Linked DNA regions of Saccharomyces cerevisiae S288C. The protein of the gene in region 2 binds, or shares a complex with, the protein of the main gene of each other region. Each region holds a gene or a part of one and is shown on either strand. Other genes may lie near its edges.

Region 1 (3,642 bases), on a different chromosome or scaffold from region 2:
AATACTCTGTTTGGACTGTTCTACCATTTGATAACATCACTTGTACACATGCTAGAGGTTTGGTAAATTCTTTATCAATAGTGGAGTATGCTGTCACCACAATATATGCGTCTAAGTCAGGTATATTATATGTTATGCTTGGTATTTGGCTAGCTACCGCGGCCTCAACATAATAACTTCCCATGAGTTCTATATTTCCCGGCTTCAACGGACATAATAAATTATCTTGGATTCCACATAGATCAAAAACTTTGGTATAAACATTGAGACCATATGCAATCAATTCTGCCTTGATGGTTATGTTTTCGCTCATAATTGTTTGTGCTTCAACATTAAAGAATAGAGTATTATTTCTCGGGAAAAAAGCAGCTTCGAAATACGATGCAGAAAACTGTGAGTCTTTAGCACAAGTCAACAGAGCCGAAGTCCTTAGATATTCTTTAGTATATGCATCAAATGGTACTGGGAATAGAGTCGATGCGTTGTTCAGTAGTGTAAAAGAGTTAGAAACCTGGAAAGTAGAGCTGTTAATGGAAATAGCGTGTATTTGTCGGAAGATTGCTAGCAAAACAAAAATCCGAGATAAAGAGAAGACTTTAATGGGAAGCATACTTATTCTCTTTACATCTATAAATCAGAGAGGTTAAATATTATTTAAAATAGCATTACGACTTTGCTTCATCATCCTTCCAAAATATTGACACTGCATCATTTTTTAAATGTGTCAGTAATTCGGGCACAAAAATATAAATGGACCGCCATGAACTAAAGCTGTCGTCGATATGGATCGCTCCATAGCAGCATTATAAAAATTAAAAATGCATCAATACCATGCTACAGTAATAACAAAATACAGCATGGATTACCACTACATATTCATCATGTCATGCATTATAGTTGTAACATATGCTGAACACCCATTCATCACGTGTAATTGGACATCCGTGGAGTTCCAAAAGGAGTATAAACGCAAATAGTAAAGCTAAGATATAAGTAGTGTCTAAGTAAATGACTTCTTTGTAAGCGTACAGCTAAAGTTTACCGATGAGTTACGATAAGAAGGCAGATGTCACATCCTTAGATGAAGATTTGAGACAACTAAGAGAAAGCAAATTTTCACCGGAAGCAATTCAAAATATCAAAATATGGGTATATAAATCTGTCCTAAAAGAGATAGCTCCTCCTGGAGACTTATTGGAATGCTTGAAAGATGGAACAGTCCTATGTAAGCTGGCAAATATTTTATATGAAGCAGACACAGGAGAAGCTAACCATATTAGTTGGAAGAGCTCTAAAATGCCATTTGTTCAAATGGATCAAATTTCCCAATTTTTATCATTTTCGAGAAAATATGGTGTGCCTGAAGATGAACTGTTTCAGACAATTGATCTTTTTGAGAAAAAGGATCCTGCCATTGTTTTCCAAACGTTGAAGTCACTATCTCGTTACGCCAACAAAAAACATACAGATAGATTTCCAGTTCTAGGACCACAACTGTCAACAAAGAAGCCAAGACCCCCGGTTAAGTCTAAACCAAAACATCTACAAGATGGTACTGGATGGAGCACTTTTGAATACGGTTATATGAAAGGTGCATCTCAGGCTACTGAAGGAGTGGTGTTAGGACAACGGAGAGATATAGTTTAGAGAATTATTATTAACACTTTCTCTGGCAGAAATTGATAAATAAACATTTAAGAACCCTATATACGCAACCAAAGTTCCTTTGATATATTTTAGTTTTCCATCAAAGTTTTCCTACATAAACACTAAGGTGGCTAGAGACGCGTAACAAAAGTTAACGTTACCGGTAAAAATGTGATTATACAAATCAATCTCACAGAACGGTGTGGAAACAAAGTAGTTGAAGGATTTCAACTATGCGAATCAACAGTGAGCTAGCGAACAAGTTTTCTGCCTCAACGGTGCACTTAGAACATATCACAACTGCTTTAAGTTGTTTAACACCTTTTGGTTCTAAAGACGATGTGCTTATATTCATTGATGCTGATGGGCTGTCATTTGTCAGGGAGAATAATCATGTGATAAAAATCCAACTACTGTTATCTCGGGAGCTATTTATGTCTTATTCGTATAGAAATGAAACTGAGGATCACATGAAACTTTGTGTAAAAATAAATCATATCTTAGATAGCGTTAGCGTGATGAACAGGAATTCGGATGACATTGTTGAGTGTACTTTATCTTATGATGGACATGGATCACCATTTGTACTAATATTTGAAGACTCGTTCATTTCTGAGAGAGTGGAGTACTCTACCTACTTAATTAAGGATTTTGATACTAATGGACTAGAACTCGATAGAGAAAGGATAAGCTTTGAGGCAATTATTAAGGGCGAAGCCCTTCATTCAGCCTTAAAGGATCTAAAAGAAATCGGATGCAAAGAGTGCTATGTATATGCAAAGACCGAGGCGAATGATGAGAATGTATTTGCCCTGATATCTAAATCTCAGCTAGGATTTTCTAAAATAAAATTACCCAGTAACAGATCCATACTAGAGAAGTTACAAGTATTTGACGGAGATTCCACAACAGTAATAGATGGTTTTGCTGTAATTGGGTTCTTCGATTTCACCTCGTTTGATAAAATCAGAAAGAGTACTAAAATTGCAAGCAAAGTCCTTTTCAGGATGGATGTTCATGGCGTATTGAGTGTAAATATTCTAAGTCAAACAGACGATGTCATTATCACTGATACTACAAGACCTTCAAATAATCGACCAGGTAGTATTCGCCAACTGCAGCTACCCAAGGATTATCCCGGTATAGTAATTGAGGTTTGCATGCTAGAAAAAGAATCCATAGATGAGGCAGCACAGACAGAAATAGAACTCCTGATGGAGACTAATGAACTTGGCAATCGTAATAGTTTTAAAAAATCAACTATAAGAAAAAGATATGGTACAGATAAAGGCAATGAAACTTCAAATGACAACTTGCTGCAATTGAATGGGAAAAAAATTAAACTACCATCTGAAGAAGAAAACAATAAAAACAGGGAAAGTGAGGATGAAGAGAATCACTGCAAGTATCCAACAAAGGATATTCCTATATTTTTTTAAGTCAATATCCAGCATCGCAGAAAACGCAGAACTTCATTCAGCATTTGGTAATTTTATAACATATAACTTACAATTAAATAAAAGTTTAACTATATATTATTATGTGATCTAACTCTAGAAAAAGTACTAATGAACATCACACCGTTTATTGTTGGGAGAAGTGTTCCATGATCATGGACAATTCATCAGTTTCAGCACCCCAGTTCTTGACAACAACAACGGAGGCACCGACAACCTTTCTGGCGTTACCTTCACGGTCGATCTTACCCAAACCAGCCCATTCACCTAATTGCTTAGCATCAGCAACCTTGATCAATGGAACCTTGTTTTCTGGGTCGTTAGCCAAACCTTCAACCAACTTGATAATGTTAGCTTCAGTAACAGAGCTGACCAAAACAACCAATAAAGCTTCACCTCTGGTTAAAGCCTTGGTAGATTCTCTCAAACCTCTAGCTAGACCATCGTGAACCAAAGCGGTTCTCAAAACAACCTTCAAAGCATCTTCGATAGTAACTTCGGCAGTTTGTTCAACAACAGTTTCTTCTTGAACTTCAAC
Region 2 (3,711 bases):
TTCACTCTGCTATTTTCTCAAAGCCTTTTTAACTCTCCGTCAAAAAATGTTGTTATTAAACTCGACATTATGTTAAGTCCACGCTGTTGCCCTCGAAAAATCTGTGTCAAGCAATTACGTTTTTGATGTAACAGAACTCAAATTTAAAAAGTTTCCTATCATATTCTCAGGGTGGAGCCAGTTTAAAGATATATTGCGTTTTATTTCTTTTTCTGCGGTATATATAGATATGAAACACCAGTAATATATTCAAATTAGCTATTTCTTGTTATTCATTCCTCGCTGAAACGTCCATTTTTTTCATATTTTAAAATCCTAATGAGGCATTACGTACCATATTTGCGTAGTTTTTGTATGGGGATATGGAAGATTATTACAGTGGCAAATTTAATGTGCAGTTCATGTAGCCTTTAAAATGCAACATACCGTTCGTAAGGCTGTTTTGTTCTATCTATTTTTTCTGAGGTTTCCGACAACCTCACGACATTTTTTTTTTTCGAACGGAAAAAAGAAAAGCAGTTAGTATGTAAAGCACGGATTTTTTTATACATATGTACGGATGTGATAGTCTGCAACTCTGCAACTCTGCAGTTCTCAGCCATGTCAGATTTAAAGAGTTTCCTTAGCAACGTAGCAAAGAAATGTACCGCTGTAGGGTTTACAAGCCCTTCGATCTTGCTATATAATATATGATTTGTCCTCTTTCCCTTGGTTTTTCCACATCTTCGCTATCTTCCAAGCTACCACGATCCAACGAACAGTGGAATACGCAGGATTCGTCGTGAGAAATCGCCAAAACAACTTCTTCAAATGCAGCGTATAACTTGGAACACACCTTCCAATCTTTGCAACGGATGATTACTTCATGTGTGGACGAACTTTCCTGTTCAGCCTTTTCCACCATAACGGATATGTCATTAAATTCAGTATCACCGCTAGTATCAGCTGTGTAAATGTTTCCCCGCGTATCTGCGATCGAGCTATCCTCAATTCTTAATAAATCTTCATCGTAGCGGATATTTTCTTCCATCTCTCGATCTCTAGTATTGGTATATAGTGAAGACATCGGTTTATCCGCTTCGATAATCGGAAGAGATCCTTCCTCCTGCCGGCCGTCTGTGTCGATGTGCTGGTTTTGGGAAGGATTGTCAGTGAGCCCTTCTTGGCGTTGTATCACAGAGTCTAAGGGTCCATTCCAGCATATTTCCAAATGCCAATCTAATTCATTCACAATTATCTTAAGTTCTACATCATCACCTTCATTTCCATGCTCCTTTTTTTTGACTCCCATTAAATGAATGTGGTTGACATTACTGTACCGTTCAACACGTCTAATAAACCCGTGGAAGGCGGAGCCAAACTCGCCCGATATTGGTGGCAGCTTGTACATCATCAGTTGAATATAGTTAATCATTGGCTCTTGTATTCGCGTATCTTGTGCTCGGAATAATAGTTTGACAGGTACTTTGAACGAATGCATGATAACCTTATTGCTTGCGAGTAGATTTCCTGTGCCTACTGTGGTTGGTAAACCATTGTGCTCATCCACTCCCCCATTCATAACTATAGCGTCATTTGGGCCGCTAGTATGTACAATTTCTTCGAATGTTATACCTAGAGCACAAATGGGGTTCGGTTTTGAGGTTGTATCTACGCCTCCTGCTGTTCCTCCTGAAAGTGTTCCGTTATTTGTATTCCATTCTGGCATTGACTGTAGTTTTATAGTCATATTAGAGGAAGATCCTTGGTTCATTACTCGATCATACCTTTTAAACACACTCAATAAAGAATCACAATTACACTCCATTGTTATTGTATTGAGCTCGCGAGCTGATATAACTGTATATAATCTGAATACATCATGAGGAATGGTACACCAAAGCTGACCAGTATCCCCTCGTAATATTGTACCGTTGTTACTGCTGTTGAGTGATGATTTTGGAGTGGATATTATTGTCAATCTTTCACTATTAAATCTTAAGATAGCCGTCTTTCGTAGCGAAGCAACTGTATTGATAGTAGTTCTTAGCAATTTATAATCATCAGGTGCTTCACAACCATTTACTATCAATTTTAATTTCATTTAACTGAATTAAGACACACCTTTTGTCTTCTTTTTTCTCTCATCATCTCCGTATGTTTATGTTGCTATTTTGATGTAAATAAAAAAGTTGAATAATAGACGAGGGCAAGTATAACTCGCCTATATTTGTAGCCGCAACCATTGAAAAAGAGCCATGAATATGGGAAACTAGTTGCACATAAAAATGCTGAAATTTAGAATTAGGCCAGTGAGACATATACGGTGTTATAAACGACACGCATATTTCTTACGATATAACCATACGACTACCCCTGCACAGAAGTTACAAGCACAGATCGAGCAAATACCTCTCGAAAATTACAGAAATTTCTCTATAGTTGCCCATGTTGACCATGGGAAGTCAACCTTAAGTGACAGACTGCTGGAAATAACGCATGTCATCGATCCCAATGCGAGAAATAAACAAGTTTTGGATAAATTGGAAGTCGAAAGAGAAAGAGGTATTACTATAAAGGCGCAAACATGTTCGATGTTTTATAAAGATAAGAGGACCGGAAAAAACTATCTTTTACATTTAATTGACACGCCAGGACATGTGGACTTCAGAGGTGAAGTTTCACGGTCATATGCGTCTTGTGGGGGAGCAATTCTTTTGGTTGATGCATCACAAGGCATACAAGCACAGACGGTTGCTAATTTTTATTTAGCCTTCAGTTTAGGATTGAAATTAATTCCAGTAATAAACAAAATTGATCTAAATTTTACAGATGTTAAACAGGTAAAGGATCAGATAGTGAATAACTTTGAGCTCCCCGAGGAAGATATAATCGGAGTAAGTGCTAAAACAGGATTAAATGTAGAGGAACTGTTACTACCGGCTATAATTGATCGTATACCACCACCAACGGGGAGGCCTGATAAACCCTTCAGAGCATTATTAGTGGATTCTTGGTACGACGCATACTTAGGAGCGGTTCTTCTAGTGAATATTGTTGATGGTTCTGTACGTAAAAATGACAAGGTTATTTGTGCTCAGACAAAAGAAAAATACGAAGTCAAAGATATTGGAATCATGTATCCTGACAGAACCTCTACAGGTACGCTAAAGACAGGACAGGTTGGCTATCTAGTGCTGGGAATGAAGGATTCTAAAGAAGCAAAAATTGGAGATACTATAATGCATTTAAGTAAAGTAAATGAAACGGAAGTACTTCCCGGATTTGAAGAACAAAAACCCATGGTATTTGTGGGTGCTTTCCCGGCTGATGGGATTGAATTCAAAGCCATGGATGATGATATGAGTAGACTTGTCCTCAACGATAGGTCAGTTACTTTGGAACGTGAGACCTCCAATGCTTTGGGTCAAGGTTGGAGATTGGGCTTTTTAGGATCTTTACATGCATCTGTTTTTCGTGAACGACTAGAAAAAGAGTATGGTTCGAAATTGATCATTACTCAACCCACAGTTCCTTATTTGGTGGAGTTTACCGATGGTAAGAAAAAGCTTATAACAAATCCGGATGAGTTTCCAGACGGAGCAACAAAGAGGGTGAACGTTGCTGCTTTCCATGAACCGTTTATAGAGGCAGTTATGACATTGCCCCAGGAATATTTAGGTAGTGTCATACGCTTATGCGATAGTAATAGAGGAGAACAAATTGATATAA
Region 3 (4,117 bases), on a different chromosome or scaffold from region 2:
GGTATGTAATTTTCTGTATAATTGGGAGGACTCGTATAATTGTACTGAGTGGACGGTTGTATTGGATGGAAATATTGATTATGAGGGGCTACATGATGAAGTTGAGGAGTATAACCGGTATTCCATGAACCTTCATAATACGGAGAGTTCGGATACATATGAGGTGAGTAAGCTGCATTAAAAGCAGAGTCTGTTTTTTGCCTTTTAATTTTCGATTCATCATAGCCATCTGATAGCGTTCCGGAGTATGTAGGTTTGGGAAGCCTAGAATGTCCATCACCCTTCGAATTTTCAAAGTTATTATAATTCATAGTCCATGTCGCAATAAGCTAATCAAAATGGAAAAAGAGATTGACTTATGAGTTAAATATAATAGCATCAATGAAATTTTTAAGTTCCTATTAAGTAAAAAGCTATGCAATATAGAGATATTATGCTATTGAAAATTTTAGTTTGTTCCCCGACCGTGATGGACCATCAGCCGCACGCTCACCAAATTGAGACAGAAAAAAAAAAAAAAACAGCGATCGATATTATCATGATAATTGCTACTTCATCTAATATTTACACGCCTTTATACTGATTTTGCATTATGGTTTTAGTCAAATATACCCCTTGGCTTTTCTACTTGTGTTAGACCCAGCCCATCTTCCATCTCTTTATTGTCCTGTTTCTTGTGATTACTTGTGTCATTCTGGGAATTCAACAGACCTTGCATATGCTTCAATTTTTCTTTCTTGAGCATTCCTTTTCTATCGATATTGCTGCATGAAACCTCATCATCTGCAGCTGGTAACGCTTTTCCCCATGTCACAGTGGTGTCTGCCCTTTTTGCAAATGTAGATTGTTGGGTGGGGTCTTCAGTTTCATTACAAATATCTGCTATGGATCTTTTTAAAGAATTGCTCTCATTACGTGGACAGGCCACTTCATGAGTCGTACCAATGTCAAAACTTTGTTCCCGATTCATGTTCATATGAACTGAACTAGCCTGCCGGAACCGCTTATCTTGTTCGTAATTCGTACTTTGGCTTTGTTCTTCCACGAATAATTTTCTTGCCGTGTTATTTCTATAGGTCTTAGCAACTGTGCTTCCATTATCAGGGGTCAGATACGACACTTTCAAAGGACTGTTTCGAGTTCCAGCCACAGAGTGTGGCAGGTTTTCTCTCTTTAAAGCAGTTTTGCTTTTTAATGGACTTTCGCAGCTTTCTTTGTTGTCTTTCAGTCCGGCCTCTTCTTTGGAGCCAGAGATTGCTGTTTTTATGAATTTTCCTTCTAAAATATCATCGTTAATGTTACTGTCAGTAACTTCAACCAATTCTAATTTTACGCCCGGTTTTTGCATTTGCATAAGAATAGGGTCCCCTGGGTGGCAAAACCATAAACTTATATTATCATTTCCGTCCTGGGTAGTCTTCCAGGATGGACCTATCGTTATGAAGTTTTTGAAGTCCTTCAATTTGAATATTATACTTTTCATATGCTCTCTACGCTTACTATGTGATCGCTTATCTTGTTTTTCATCTTCGATTGTTGTAAATAAGCAATAATGCTCAAGATCGAGCGTACTGATAGTGTTACTCATGCTTAACGCATTTCTTAAAAGGTCGTTATTTTTGCCGTAGACGGCCTTGGTGAATGCAGTTATGCTTAGCCTATGTACGTTAATTTCCAATTTTACTTCATCGGTTACATTAACATTGCAGTTGTCTAAAAAATTCTTCAATAAAGTTGAATTACAACAAATGTAATTAATCTCATCAGCAGCCGTTAACTGATTCCTTTTACGTATGTCTGATTCCACTTCTTCGTTAAATAAGGCTGATGTTAGCTCACGCTCTGTATTTGTAAAAACGTCCAATAGCTTAGGGTCCAAGGGCTCCTGTGGATTCCGATCGGAGGCAGCAGTTCCAAAAACATCCAAAAACCTCCTTTTGTACTTAAGGTTGATTATTATGGGATCGTATTTTATTGGCTGGAATTGGGGACAGTATTCTTTGACTATTAACGAATCCATTTCAATCACCACAATCAATCTATTTGCAAGTGATTCAGGACAGGTAGAAGTGTTGTTTACCGCAATTGTGAATGATTTGATGCCATCACCATCCGGCTTTCTTGATATAGTTGTTAGGTGTCTTCCATTAACACGGAAGGAGTATAACTTATGACTATTGCCGTACGTATCTTCTATAACTTGAACCCCATTTTCTCCAAATACAATCTCATGTGGTTTAAACTCATACTCCTCAAAAAAGCTTTTCTGAAACCTAACCTGACAAAGAGTAGTATCTGTCTCGTTCATTGACCAAGCAATTAACTCATTTGTTGTCACTGTAATCTTGATATCATCCTGAATTGTAGATAACACATATATCGCACGAAACCAGATATTCTGCTTCCCCGACTCGGTGATAGTTGCCTTAAATGACATATATGTCTAAGCAAAGTTATGCTGTGTTATTGTTACACTAGCAATAGTATGTCAAATAATTTTGCAAATCATCTCTGGTCTATGATTACCTTTGGCGGCCTTTGATTCATTCGCGTCATTATTAAATATGCCGTCTCTTTCGGCAAATTGAGTGCACCGCAATAATATACTATGCAGAATAAAATACTTAAATTAATTATAGTTTACGTACGTAATCGCTGTCATTGAGAATTCACGACTTCGATTTTTTTATCGTTAAATGTCAGTGCTTTGGTCTCGAAGAAATTCATTTGGTTCTGGAGAATTTTTTGCTTTCGTTTTTAGTTTGTTTTTTGACTTTGACTTTTTCCCTTTCTTCTTCTTTTTTATAACTATAACTTCTTCAGTATCACTTAAATTATCCTTTTCATCTTTTACAATAAGATTGGCCTCTAAACGACTTAATTCTAACTCGTCTTCCTTTCTAAGGTTGCCCTCTTCCTGCGATCCTCTTCCTGCGTTACTCGATTGCCCAAAATTGGAAAAATCAAAATTTTCAAGTTGAGAGTGCATTCTCAGATTAATCTTGTCCTTTTTCAAAGGATTTTGAGTTGAATGATTATCATGGGGTTTCTGGAATGCATCTTTCCTTTTGGGAGCGGCTTCGATAACAGGTTCATCGGATAAGACTTGAACCCTATTTTTCTTCTTTCCCTTCTTCTTCTTTCTGCTGATTTCAGTTGTAGATAAACTTAGAGAATTCAACGAATTATCGGTTCTATTTAATCTAATAGTTTCTGGCTTTTTATCACTACTTTCCTCCTCATTCAAGTCCAACAAATCTTTAGAGTTCTTAGTTCTTTCTTCGTCTTCTTCACCTAGATAATAAGGATTTGACATCCGTTCCTTTTCTCTCTCAATCTCAAATGGATTTTCAAAATCATCCAATTTTTCCTTTTCTTCATACGAAGTATCAGAATCATCAACGAATTTTAGTTCAACTTGCTCGTCCATTGAGATATCAGACATTAAATCACTGATGGCGTCACTTTTTTGTTCATCTAAGAGTTCATCAGCTGCCTCCTTTGTCAAAAATGGAGTTTCTAGATCAAGATTCTCATCTACTGCTAACTTCAATTGAGTCCCACGCGCAATTGGTGCGAGTTCATAGGCGTTAAAAAAACTAGGCAGGACTTCGCTCAGTAGCATTGGTAGACCTTCCGTATCCTCCTCTAAAGCCTCCAAACTTAGTCTTAAAAATTCTAAAACTTCTACGCTTCTTTCCTGGACTTCGAATGTACTCGAATAAGATAAATTTTCAAAAAATTCAATTAGCTCTTTTAACACCATTTTAATTTCAAAGCGTTTATCCTCCTGAAAGTTATTACACCAATTACTAAATACTTTAACAAGTGCTAAAATTAAAACTTCTTGTACACTATGAGAATAATAACTGATATTCTCAGTCATGATTTTTATTAAGTCGTTACCATTTTCAACTAGGGTAGAAAATTCTCCGAGACACCAAATGCATTCTCTCAATACGGTAGGCAACTGTTTGTTAATATTGTCATTTGAAATAAGCTTTATAATATTAGCAATGGTTACTTCTCTCATTGAAGGAACTTTTATCATCAAATTCCTAAACTGTTCACCAATTTTTGATCCAAGGCTTTTATCAGATATGTCTTGACAGAGCAT

Evidence for each region.
Region 1: MEC3 (region 2) and RAD17 share a complex: the UniProt entries of both Saccharomyces cerevisiae proteins name them as parts of the checkpoint clamp complex.
Region 3: MEC3 (region 2) and DDC1 share a complex: the UniProt entries of both Saccharomyces cerevisiae proteins name them as parts of the checkpoint clamp complex.

The regions. Positions count from the first base shown.
Region 1 is NC_001147.6:1,024,963-1,028,604, forward strand, and holds RAD17 (Rad17p), read left to right. Parts: upstream 1-1,880; coding exon 1,881-3,086; downstream 3,087-3,642. Other genes in the region: YOR365C (putative flavin adenine dinucleotide transporter), read right to left, coding at 1-610; SCP1 (Scp1p), read left to right, coding at 1,045-1,647; 40S ribosomal protein eS12 RPS12, read right to left, coding at 3,232-3,642. UniProt on the Saccharomyces cerevisiae protein: Component of the checkpoint clamp complex involved in the surveillance mechanism that allows the DNA repair pathways to act to restore the integrity of the DNA prior to DNA synthesis or separation of the replicated chromosomes.
Region 2 is NC_001144.5:712,822-716,532, forward strand, and holds MEC3 (Mec3p), read right to left. Parts: upstream 2,084-3,711; coding exon 659-2,083; downstream 1-658. Other genes in the region: 40S ribosomal protein eS30 RPS30A, read right to left, coding at 335-337; GTPase GUF1, read left to right, coding at 2,268-3,711. UniProt on the Saccharomyces cerevisiae protein: Component of the checkpoint clamp complex involved in the surveillance mechanism that allows the DNA repair pathways to act to restore the integrity of the DNA prior to DNA synthesis or separation of the replicated chromosomes.
Region 3 is NC_001148.4:177,597-181,713, reverse strand, and holds DDC1 (Ddc1p), read right to left. Parts: upstream 2,438-4,117; coding exon 599-2,437; downstream 1-598. Other genes in the region: RSA1 (Rsa1p), read right to left, coding at 1-311; APL5 (Apl5p), read right to left, coding at 2,693-4,117. UniProt on the Saccharomyces cerevisiae protein: Component of the checkpoint clamp complex involved in the surveillance mechanism that allows the DNA repair pathways to act to restore the integrity of the DNA prior to DNA synthesis or separation of the replicated chromosomes.